3 linked regions of the Rattus norvegicus genome follow. Each later gene encodes a partner of the first gene's protein in a complex. Links are inferred from orthologs where the notes say so. Each region holds a gene or a part of one and is shown in the gene's direction. Other genes may lie near its edges.

What was found. The genes of interacting proteins can lie anywhere in the genome.
Region 2: Syncrip (region 1) and Dhx9 share a complex: the UniProt entries of both Homo sapiens proteins name them as parts of the coding region determinant (CRD)-mediated complex. The link is inferred for Rattus norvegicus from reciprocal best matches to the Homo sapiens genes SYNCRIP and DHX9.
Region 3: Syncrip (region 1) and Rpl13a share a complex: the UniProt entries of both Homo sapiens proteins name them as parts of the GAIT complex. The link is inferred for Rattus norvegicus from reciprocal best matches to the Homo sapiens genes SYNCRIP and RPL13A.

Annotation. Positions count from the first base shown.
Region 1 is NC_086026.1:98,312,499-98,316,165, reverse strand, and holds the start of Syncrip (heterogeneous nuclear ribonucleoprotein Q), read left to right. Parts: upstream 1-779; 5' UTR 780-1,286; intron 1,287-2,582; 5' UTR 2,583-2,594; coding exon 2,595-2,742; intron 2,743-3,439; coding exon 3,440-3,558; intron 3,559-3,667. UniProt on the Homo sapiens protein: Heterogenous nuclear ribonucleoprotein (hnRNP) implicated in mRNA processing mechanisms. Component of the CRD-mediated complex that promotes MYC mRNA stability.
Region 2 is NC_086031.1:68,186,973-68,190,717, reverse strand, and holds the start of Dhx9 (ATP-dependent RNA helicase A), read left to right. Parts: upstream 1-1,171; 5' UTR 1,172-1,291; intron 1,292-3,745. UniProt on the Homo sapiens protein: Multifunctional ATP-dependent nucleic acid helicase that unwinds DNA and RNA in a 3' to 5' direction and that plays important roles in many processes, such as DNA replication, transcriptional activation, post-transcriptional RNA regulation, mRNA translation and RNA-mediated gene silencing.
Region 3 is NC_086019.1:104,746,027-104,749,747, reverse strand, and holds Rpl13a (large ribosomal subunit protein uL13), read left to right. Parts: upstream 1-834; 5' UTR 835-848; coding exon 849-863; intron 864-1,876; coding exon 1,877-1,949; intron 1,950-1,980; exon of another isoform or gene 1,981-2,063; intron 2,064-2,192; coding exon 2,193-2,258; intron 2,259-2,355; coding exon 2,356-2,457; intron 2,458-2,501; exon of another isoform or gene 2,502-2,586; intron 2,587-2,660; coding exon 2,661-2,746; intron 2,747-2,786; exon of another isoform or gene 2,787-2,853; intron 2,854-2,917; coding exon 2,918-2,977; intron 2,978-3,020; exon of another isoform or gene 3,021-3,100; intron 3,101-3,188; exon of another isoform or gene 3,189-3,204; coding exon 3,205-3,327; intron 3,328-3,412; coding exon 3,413-3,499; 3' UTR 3,500-3,525; downstream 3,526-3,721. UniProt on the Homo sapiens protein: Associated with ribosomes but is not required for canonical ribosome function and has extra-ribosomal functions.

The DNA of each region.
Region 1 (3,667 bases):
TCCTCATAGTTGTCCTAATCACGCAGCTTTCTGCTGCTTCAAGTTGTTCAAAGTGTGCCAGGAGGAGCACTTAACCGCTTAAAAGGCCAGGGACAGAAACGGAATATTGCACAATCCAACACCACCGGGCCGGTTAAGCTTCCAAATCTGGCCTCGGTGTCATCCCCGGGTGGGAGGAACTGGGATTTCCTCGCGAACCCGCGGCGCCCCTCCCTTTGCCCAGGGTATTCGTGGAAGCCGAGGACGGCGCGCGCCGGGCCGCGGGATGCCCCATTGTCCAGCGGCGGAAGCCGGGGCTCCCCGGGGTGACTCCCGAACTCGAGCCCCGCCACCCGGTGGCCCCGAGTTCCGCCATCCCCCGTGCAGCTCCCCTCCCCCGCAGCCCCATTGTCTGCCTCGCCTCGCCCCGCCCCGGGGGACACGTGCGCCTGCAGCTTCTCGAGCGCCCAGGGCGCGGGGCGGCGGTGGCAGCCTGGGCAGAGCGGTCAGCCAGCGCCGGGCACCCTCGGAGCCCCGACTCGCCGTGGGGAGGTGGGGGCGGGGAGGACGGGGTGGGGAGATGCTTGTCTCCTGACAAAGAAGGAGTGGGACACACAGCCAGCCGGCAGCCCCGCCCGCGGAGCGCGAGGGAGTGTCCGCACAGAGGGCGGGTCTCCCATTCACTCGGCCCCTCACGGTCGCCGCGGCGGAAGGGCGGGGTCTCTCCCCCCCCTACCAGCACCTAGGGGCGGGGCGAGAGGCGGGGCCCACGGGCGCGCGTCCTGAGGCGTCGGCTGCGTCGTCACGTCAGCGCGGGAGAGAGAAAGAGCGACTCGGCAGGGACTGGGGACGGGCCGAGAGAGCTAGCGAGGGAGGGCGTGAGCCAGAGAGCCAGCGAGGAGAAGGGCGGCCACTCGTGCTTGAGCGGCCGCGGACGGGAGTGGGAAAGCTGGGGGAGGAGGTGCAGGGAAGGAAGGACGAAGACCGAGAGGACAGGGCGGCCCACGGCCGGCAGAGGTGGCAAGGGGAGAAGGAGGAGCTGTAGGAGGGCAGGGGCTGAGGGAGTGAGTGAGAGAAGCGGACGCGCCAGGGAGGGGAGGGAAGGGGGGTCACGCGGGGGCGCGCGCGCGCACTGGGAGCGCGCTCGGAGGCGAGTGGAACTGGATCGGGTTTGCTGCCAGCGGCGTGAGCTTCGGCCGCCATTTTACAACAGCTCCACTCGCGCCGGACACAGGGAGCAGCGAGCACGCGTTCCCCGCCACCCGACCCGGTCGGACAGGATTCCTCGGCCCCAGCCCCGCGGGGAGGTAACGACGGCCGGCACACGGGTGTTGGGGAGGGGGGAGCTCCGTGACATTTTGGAGGGTGCTTGGGGGAGGGCGGCGCGGGGAGAAACCGGCTTTTCTGGAAAATGGATTCCAAGGGGGAGAAGAGCACGTTGGCCGGGGCTGCGAGAGAGTAGGCCGCGGTCGCGCCGCCACTTCCTCCTCTCCATGTGCTGCCGGGTCTGGGCTTTGTCTGCGGCGCTCCGGGAGGAGGCGCCTCGGCAGCCCCGTGGCCCGAGCGGATCGCGAGCGGCGGCGGACTTGGTGCTGTCGTGGCCGGCGGCGCGGGAGTGGGCGGAGAGGCGCGGGTGCTGTCCCGCGACCGGCCGGCGGGCTTGGGCGGTGCTCGGCTCCCGCGGGCGTGTGCTTGGCGGCGGAACGCCCTCCCGGCGCGGGCTGTCGGCCTCGGCGCCGCAGCCACTGCACCGAGGGGTGCGGGAGGCTGGGGGTCGCGGGCGCACGGGAGCGCCCGGGGCGGAGAGCCATGTGTCACGGCGGAGACGGCGGCGCTGGGGGGCGGGGAGAGCCCGTGGCCTGGCGCCGCCGCGGCCTCGCTTTTGAGGGGCGAGATGTGCGGCTGCAGTGTTCGGGGGGCTCGGACCCCGATTGCGGGTTGATGTTGGGAGGCGGTCATGACGGTCTTGGCCTGGTACTCGGTGGGTTTCCGTTGAAGGAAGTTGTAGGACATTTGAAGGCGCAGAGCACGTGTTTCTAATGGGCTCCTGGCGGCTGCAGTGGCGTTGCTGCCGCTCCGGGTGCGGAGTCGGGGGCGGGCTTTGGGGTGTGGGGGTGAAGGGTGGAGGAATTGGGTGGTGGGAAGGTGGCTTGTGTGAGCGCTTTGTTCTTCGCTGGCTGTTGTTACTGATCTATAAGCGGCAGGCGGGAAAAGCGCACTTTCTGGTTTACCTTGGAGAGAGACAAGCCCAGCGTTGCTTGCTTCACACACCTTATTCTCCGTTTTGGAAGTGCTGCGTGTGGCAGGCTGGGCCGGTCGCTGTGCTGATTGGGCTTCATTTGTAATAAGGTTTTTCTCAGTGAGTGTTAGTTAGCAGGTGAAGTGAGGGGTGGTGCTCAGGAAGAAAATAGTGAATCGGTCCTTCTGTACCCCGGGCTCCACAGTCTGGCTTGTCAGGCGATAGTGACTTTAAGGTTTCTTTCAAGGGAGGCTCAGGCTGACTGGTTGTAGTCAAGTGGAAGAGAAAGTAAAGATTGGGACTGTCATTGTCCTCTATTCTGTTTGAAGATCCTAGTTTAATTTTGCTTATTGCGTTTGAACAGATCTCTGGAAACATGGCTACAGAACATGTTAATGGAAATGGTACTGAAGAGCCCATGGATACTACTTCAGCAGTTATCCATTCAGAAAATTTTCAGACATTGCTTGATGCTGGTTTACCACAGAAAGTTGCTGAAAAACTAGATGAAATTTACGTTGCAGGTAAGAACTAACACTTGCAAAATTACATTATGAAATTTTTCTATTGGATTTCTGACTTTGAGCTAAAATAGCAACTTTTTGTGGTTTCCAATAAACGTGGGAACTGGAGCTTGGCCTTGTTCTGATAGTTGGTTAATTTAGGTTTGAGGTAGAGTGTAGAGGGAGGGATGAAATGAGGGGATAGACCTCCCTAGGGGAAGGCTGTCTGGCCTGATGGATAAGTATATGATAGTAGCAACAGCTGCTGAATGTTGAGAGCAGCCCACGTGACTTTTTGAGGTATTTTTATAGCATGATTCTTGTTTAATAACTTGGTAACTCTAGGCTAGTTCTCTTGTCTTTCTCGGTGTGGTGGCTCCTTTTTTCTAGTGGTACTTGACATTGAGGAGAGGTTCAGTTGTTAGGCTTGGTGTTTTGTTGGTTGACTTTAGGATTTGTAGGCTTATATATTTACTGTAGAAATATTGAGTGTTCAGGACTACTCGAACACAAAACAGGATGTAAAATAGGTTGACTCCTTCTGTGGTTGAGAGGACTTATGGCTAAAGTAGGTGTTTCATTATGTAGAGGAGGGGAGGATAAGGAGGGTAGGTAGAACCATTGTCATATGTGTACCTGTATGGGTAAATACAGGACTCTGAAGAAATAGTTTAGAAAATTTAAAAGATGATAACTCACTAAACTTTTTCTTCTCCAGGGCTAGTTGCACATAGTGATTTAGATGAGAGAGCTATCGAAGCTTTAAAAGAGTTCAATGAAGACGGCGCATTGGCAGTGCTTCAACAGTTCAAAGACAGTGATCTCTCTCATGTTCAGGTATGTTAATTTAATGTCAGTGTAGAAAGAATTAAAAATGAATATTTTTGATGTGTTCATTTAAATTTATTAGATATAAACATACTAATGTTAAATATGAATTGGAAAT
Region 2 (3,745 bases), on another chromosome or scaffold:
AACACAACACCCCTCGAAACAAGAATTAAGCACAATTTAGCTTCTCACTTGAAGCTAAAACAAAGAACAGGATTTTGAGATAATTGGGAGTACACCTTTCATTCCAGCCCTAGGGGTAGAGGGTGGGGCAGAGGCAGACAGATCTGTCTCCAGGACAGCCTGGTCTACAAATCCCGGGCAGTTAGAGCTAAACAAAGAAACCCTGTCTAGGGGAGGGGCGAGGGGGGGAGACTAAAGAGCTCCCCTCCTCCCTTAGTGCAGTGGGAGAGAAGCATCTTGAGTTATGGTTTTCTTTTTTTGTGGGGTAACGGGAGACTGGGTTTCACTACAATGGGATTAATGACATTCTACCACCCCTGGCAATAAACCAGGGTCCTCTTGATTCTTTTAGATTTATTTTACTTTATGAATGTCTTGTTACCATGTTTGTGCCTTTTTAAAAAGATTTACTTTAGGGGCTGGAGAGATGGCTCAGGGTTAAGAGCACTGACTGCCCTTCCAGAGGTCCTGAGTTCAAATCCCAGCAACCACATGGACCTCTGGAAGAGCAGTTAGCGCTCTTAACCCTGAGTCATCTCTCCAGCCCAACAAGTGCTTTTAACCGCTAAGGCTTTTGTTTGTTTTTTTAGACAGGGTCTTACTATGTAGCCCTGGCTGTCCTGAAACTCGCCACATAGACCAGGCTGTTTTGAACTTAATGGAGGTCGGCCAGTCTCTGCTTCCTGGGTGCTGTGATTGAAGGCAAGTGTCACCATGCCGCACATGACCTGCAGCATTTTGGAGACGCAGAACTATTTCAGACATTTGAACATACTCATGGCACCCGGAAATACATTTCATTGGCATATTTTAAACTGCCCTTGTGTGAAAAAAAAACTATCAAAATGGAGATGCATGGTGGCATGTCTCTAAATTATGCTCTCAGAGGTTGAGGCAAGAGGACTGAGATAAGTTGTGGGCTAGCCTTCTCTACAAAGACATAACTTCCTGAGATCAAGCCGTTTAGCGACTGACAGGAAATTGTAGGCCTAGGCCAGTGGATCTCGCGCGACCTCAGGTTTGGCGCCCGGAAGTGGCTGTAGCTCCGTCTCCTCCGGGCGTGCTGGCTGGGGAGTTGGCCTACTGCGCAAGCGTGAGTCGCTGACTCCGCCCCCTCGGTCCCGCGGTCGAAGCCATTTCGCCGCTGCTTCCATGCGGGGTGAGGTGTGTTCCTTCGCCGTTTTTGTGGAAGGTTGGCGCTGCAAACTCGTCTAAGAAGGTTGTGCTCTCGGGCACGGAGAAGCGGAGGAGGGTAAGGAAGCACCGTGGCGGACCTAACGCGGGCTTGTTGTCGCGGGCCGACGCCGGCCTCCGCGGCTCTGCGGTGGCTTTGTTGTGAGGCGCGGACGGGGGGAGGGGCAGCGCGGCGGGTACCCGGATCACAGGCCGTGGGCGCGCCGGCCGTGGGGTTCTCGCGCTGCGGTGCAGCGGATAGCCCTAGGCGGTGGTTTTCCTCACACCGGTTGTCCGCTCTCGGAGGCCCCTTCCTCGGTCAGTCATGCAGCGGAAGTCTTTAATCAGAGTTGCCTGTAGCGGTGGCGGTTCGACGCCACACGGCGCGTCGGGTCCTCGCTTCTCTGATCCGGAACCCCCAGACCCGGTAGGGGTGATCTGCTTTGGGATACGAGGCGTCGTTGCAGTTCCTCCTGCACCGCACTGTTTACTGGGGAAGGATTGGTGGAGCGGAGTCAGGAGCAGGTGGTAGGAAAATGTGTGCATGATTTAGTAAGTGATGGCGGAATTACACCGCGCAACGGGATCGCCCTGCTTTAGATAACGGTTGCCAGAGACGGCGCCTCAGAGTCTGGGGGGTACTCGAGTCTGGCTTTGAGGTGCACAATGTATCCTCTCCAGAGATGCGGAGCGAGATCAATTACGTCTGAGACCAGACTGACCTGGAGGAAAAGAGGGCCAGCCACGTGACCTGAGGATGAGGAAAAGCATTTTTTTTCAGGGTGGCAAGAAAAAAAACCCACAAAATTCGGAGCCGGGAGCCGTGGCTTAGGACTTCATTCAGTCCCAGCACTGGGGTTGGTGGTCGAAGGTAGTCGGATCTCTTGTGCCAGGGCTACTACACAGAGAAACCGTGCCTCGAAAAACAAAGCAAAAAGAACTATTTCGATATACCAGTTAGTGGTGGCAGGTGACAGAAGAGCTGGAGAAAAGCAAGTAATATTACACATCTGGAGCCAAAACAGCAGGGCAGATGTGAGATGGAAAGTTTGACAGGGGATAAATTCTTAGTTTTCTAGGTCTGTAAAAGAAATGGTGGGTATTTCTAGGGGGGGCATTCACACTCCTTTCATTCTCGAAGTAAAACAAAACAGTACAGCACACAGTTTGAGGATTATATAGTCCCTAAGCCACTAAGGATCATGTCAGCACACGTTTAAGGATACAAGAGATAGCTGTGAAAGACCTTTGCGGAATGGACTAGATTTCCCAGTTCCTTGGTGCCATTATTGGGGATGGGAATTTATGAATGGGGGTTAGAATACACTTTAGGAGGTTTAAAATTCTTACTGAGATGCCTAGATAGTTTATAGATGGGAATATTAGTATTATCCTTGGATAAGATTTGGAACCTGAAGGACTGTATGTATCTATTTGGACTTAATTAGCAGGGATATTTAAAATTAAATGGGCTTTCTAGAGCTAAAAGGATTCGATAGACCTATGTTTTATGTTACTCGTTTACTTTGTACATTTACTTATGGGGTTTTTGTTTTTGAGACAGGGCTTCTCTGTAGACCAGGTAACCTCCAACTCAGATCTGCCTGCCTCTGCTCTCCAGGTGCTTGGGTTTAAACGCCCGGGCCAGCACACCCAGACTTGCGAAGGACTTTATTGTGTTTAACTTCTGAGTTGTACTATCTCGCTTTGTCATTTGCTTTACCAAATAATAAGATTAATAACTTTATCTTAATTAATAAGTTTATCTTAGGTCAGATTTGGTGAGTAGATTAAAGTTCTGTGTAGATGTCTTCTTGCATCCTGCTGCAGTAATCTCTCCTCTCTCCTGTCTAAATTTGGTCTTATTTTTATATGCATGAGTATTTTGTTGGCATGTATATGCACCATTTGCCAGAAGAGGGCATTGGATCCCTTGGGACTAGAGTTAAGAATGGTTCTAAGTCACCTTTTGGTGCTGGGGTTCAAACCTGGGTCCTCTGTTAAGAGAAATGCTCTAAAACCACTAAGCCACCTTCAGCCCCAAGAGGTTTTTGTTTTGAGATTCCCCCATCTTATCTTTTCTACCCCATTTTTACTTAAAAATTCTCTGAAAAAAAATAATATAATGTGACATGGTTTTTGTTGTTGGGAGGGATAACTTTAAGGCATATAAAATATTCATTGTAGAATGTAGTAAACTGCATAAAATATTTCAGTTAAAAATCAGTCCATGGGCTGGAGAGATGGCTCAGTGGTTAAGAGCACCAACTGCTCTTCTAGAGGTCCTGAGTTCAATTCCGAGCAACTATGTTGGTGGCTCATAACTATCTGTAATGGGGTCTGGTGTATCTGAAGACAGCTACAGTGTGCTCATATACGTAAAATAATAAGTCTTTTAAAAAAGTTTTCTTTACAATGAACCATTGTAGGGTATGTATATTCAAATTATACAGGTTGTATCTACATGCCATAGACTTCAACCGTATTAAAATTTCTTTTTTTTTTTTGTTCTTTTTTTTTTTTTTTCCCCCGG
Region 3 (3,721 bases), on another chromosome or scaffold:
TCCATAGGACTATGATGTGAAGCAGAAGCAGTCCAATTCCCCAAAATCATGGCACCAAAGTGTAACAAGTAAGCAAAACAGTGTTGGAACCTCCTGGAGGAACCGACTCAGGCTGGGATGTTTAGGGAGATTTTTCAGGACAAAATGAGTCTTTCATACTGAACAATCTACTGCCTTTTTGTTGTTTCCTTTGGTGGTGGGCGGTTATAGGTGCACAGCAGGGAGGGCAGCTCAGACAACATTCACAGCTGGGTACAGCAGCAAGTGAGTGCATCTGCGTCTCAGGAACCTGAAAGGCCTTCTCTCCTTCATACTCTTCCATCTAGGAAGACTACCCCGACTTGTCTGACAGAAGGAAACTCCTAGGCTCAGGAAAGGCCAGCAATTTTCAGCACACCAAGAGGTTGAGGGGAGGGACCGTTACACACGCAGCTCTGAAGGGCGGGCCAAGACATATTCTCGCCCCCTTATGGCCACCACATGTTCTGCAACCGTCATTCGTTGATGGGAGTAATGGCGCTCCACATCACGGACACCTGAACCGAGACGTGCAATCCCTCCAAAATATGGCGGCAGCGGCTGGATGGCCTTGTACGGCTAAAGACGCCTCGAGAACCACGTGACCTCTCGCCCCGCACAGTCATGGCCGCCAAGATCCAACTCATGCGATAGTCTGATTGGACAATATGAAAGTGGCCCGCCTCCGGTGTGCGCGCACTCACCGCTTCGATCAATGAGAAAACAGAAACCCTTCAGTTCGAGCCATCTGCGTCACTTCCTCCGCCCCTGCAGCAAGGGATAAGAAACCCTGCGCCAAGACCTCTTCCTTTCCTAGGCGGCTGCCGAAGATGGCGGAGGGGCAGGTTCGGACTCTGCGCGCCGGGCGGTGTGGGGTTGGGGTGGGTTCCAGGAGGGAGCCGAATGGGAGCCCACTGCTCCACTCTGCTTGTGCGATGGGACTTAAGCAAACGTTTTGACGCGAGGGGGTTGTGTAACGTGGGCATAACCAGCCGCGGCAGTCTTTAGGTATGGGACGATGAAAGCCTAGCGTTTTTCCTGGGGAAGACGGGAGTGGGACTCGGGTTCCCAACACCGGAAAGAACTTTTATAGGTTTCATCTCCGGCATTGGGGTGTGGGGACCTTGGAATTGCTCATGCCTGGTATTGTACTTTTGTTAGTGGGAGGCTCCTGTTTTGCATGACTTAGGGTTTTTGTAACATCTAATATTTGGGCTTGTAGCCCTTTTGAGGGTGTTAAATGTTCAGAATTAAGGGGTGAAATGATGAAGCAGACTTGTAAAACAGACTGAGGGAGAAACCTCATGACTTTGAGGGTTGACAGGAGTTGAACTGCACCTTTCCTGCTGTTTTTAGATGTCTTGAGGGTACGTTGTTGCTAAGGAAGTAGATGACGCTGTTTGGGACAGTTTTTCACTTTAAAAATGTAAACGGTAGTGTGCAATGGTTTTCTCTTGTAGTTTGGGTTGTACTGTTCTGCACTGCTCAGAATTGCAGACAGGACAGCCATTGTAGTCTAGCTAACTACAGGTTCGTTTTGTGCTGCTTAGAGCAACAGGTCTGCTCTTAGTGAGAAAGCTGGGGATTTGGTGGGACTAAACAATGGGCTAAAGTCTGAAACCAAGTCTAGACCCTTTGTAGGTCATAGTGTGCCCATGGATCCCAGCTATCCTGAAATTTGAGGCCTGGTAGGGTAACATGAAGTTCCATTTTAAAAAGTCATGTTGTGTGCACATAATAATGTACCTTTGGGACACGTGGTTCATCTGGGTTATAGGCATCCTTGTGGGGAGAGGCACTGTGAAGGGGTTGGTAACTTGGAGTAGGGAAAGCCTACTAAGCCTTCCTCTTTCCACAGGTTCTAGTATTGGATGGCCGGGGCCATCTTCTGGGCCGCCTGGCGGCCATTGTGGCCAAGCAGGTACTGCTGGGTAAGTTTCATTCAACATCCACATTTGCCTGAGAGTCTGTGATGAGCAATAATCACCATCTTTCGTTTGAGTCTCACGACTGTGAGATCAACCCATGCACCGCTCTGAGACTTACTGCCCCTGCTTACTTGGGGTTCATGGCTTAGAAATGATTTTGGAACAGATCTGCATTCCACGAGTGCTCTGTGGCTTTGTTGGGTGTTCAGTGACTTTCCTGACTGTCTCCAACCCCATGCTTTCTAGGCCGAAAGGTGGTGGTTGTACGCTGTGAGGGCATCAACATTTCTGGAAATTTCTACAGAAACAAGTGTGAGTTAGGGCTGGGGTGGTGGGCTTGGGTGGGGCTAAGCAGGTCCTTAGTTGCTTTTTGGACCCAAAAGGCCTCATATACTTTTCCTTCTGACAGTAAAGTATCTGGCCTTTCTCCGAAAGCGGATGAACACCAACCCGTCTCGAGGCCCCTACCACTTCCGAGCCCCAAGCCGCATTTTTTGGCGCACTGTGCGAGGTAAGCTGGTCCCATGGGTGACATGGAGAGCAGGGGAGCATCTGGCAGCTTGTGATGAGGATGTCTCCCACTCATGTTCGAGTTGCCTGACTATGAGACGACTCTACATGCACTACCATCTGAGGCTGGCCTAATGCCCTGCTCCTGAGGTCAGGTGGGTTTCTCAGCACCTCTGATGAGGCCTGCTGCTGTTACACCCACAGGCATGCTGCCGCACAAGACCAAAAGAGGCCAGGCTGCCCTGGAACGCCTCAAGGTGTTGGATGGGATCCCTCCACCCTATGACAAGGTGAGCCTTGCAGGCCTAGCCTCACAGCCTCTCTGCATCTAGCGTCTGTGATGTTCTGTTACCTACATTGTTTGAGCCTCATGAAAACTGCACTGGCTGAGACGCCTGACCCATCAGCCTTCTTACCAAGTGCACCCAACACGTCTCTGAGCCCTTATTTTTTTCTAACAGAAAAAGCGGATGGTGGTCCCTGCTGCCCTCAAGGTTGTGCGGCTGAAGCCTACCAGAAAGGTAAGCTCTAGGCTACAGAATAAACTTGTGGGACCTCAAGACTGGCAGATGATGGTATATTCTCACGATGGTCTTCGGATGCCACAGTGCCGATAATGCCAAAGGCTGAGCTGATGCCAGGAGAGCGTCCATGTTGGGATGAGTCCTTGAAGTAGGGTCCTTAGGCCCTCCAGCTCACTCTGCTGCTGGGGCACATTCCATGTCCTTACAGCCTTGTGCCCCTGCAGTTTGCTTACCTGGGGCGTCTGGCTCATGAGGTCGGGTGGAAGTACCAGGCAGTGACAGCTACTCTGGAGGAGAAACGGAAGGAAAAGGCAAAGATCCATTACCGGAAGAAGAAGCAGCTCTTGGTGAGGATAGAACCTGCACTCCAGGGTTAGGGTGGCCCTGGGACAAAAGCAACAAATCTCTGACACTTGTCTTTTCAAACCACAGAGGCTAAGGAAACAGGCAGAAAAGAATGTGGAGAAGAAAATCTGCAAGTTCACAGAGGTCCTCAAGACCAATGGACTCTTGGTGTGAACCCAATAAAGACTGTTTGTGCCTCATGCCTGCCTGGCCTGCCCTTCCTCCACCGCCGACCAGGGATGTGGGGACCAAAGGGTCCTTAGTCACTGCTCCTGTAGGTAGAGGGTGCATTTAGACAGCTGAGTGAGAGCTCATCACCTGCTTGAGTTTTACATTATTAAAGTGATAACCATGGAATGACCTGATCTTCAGTGTTCAAAATGAGTAGCAGGGCTG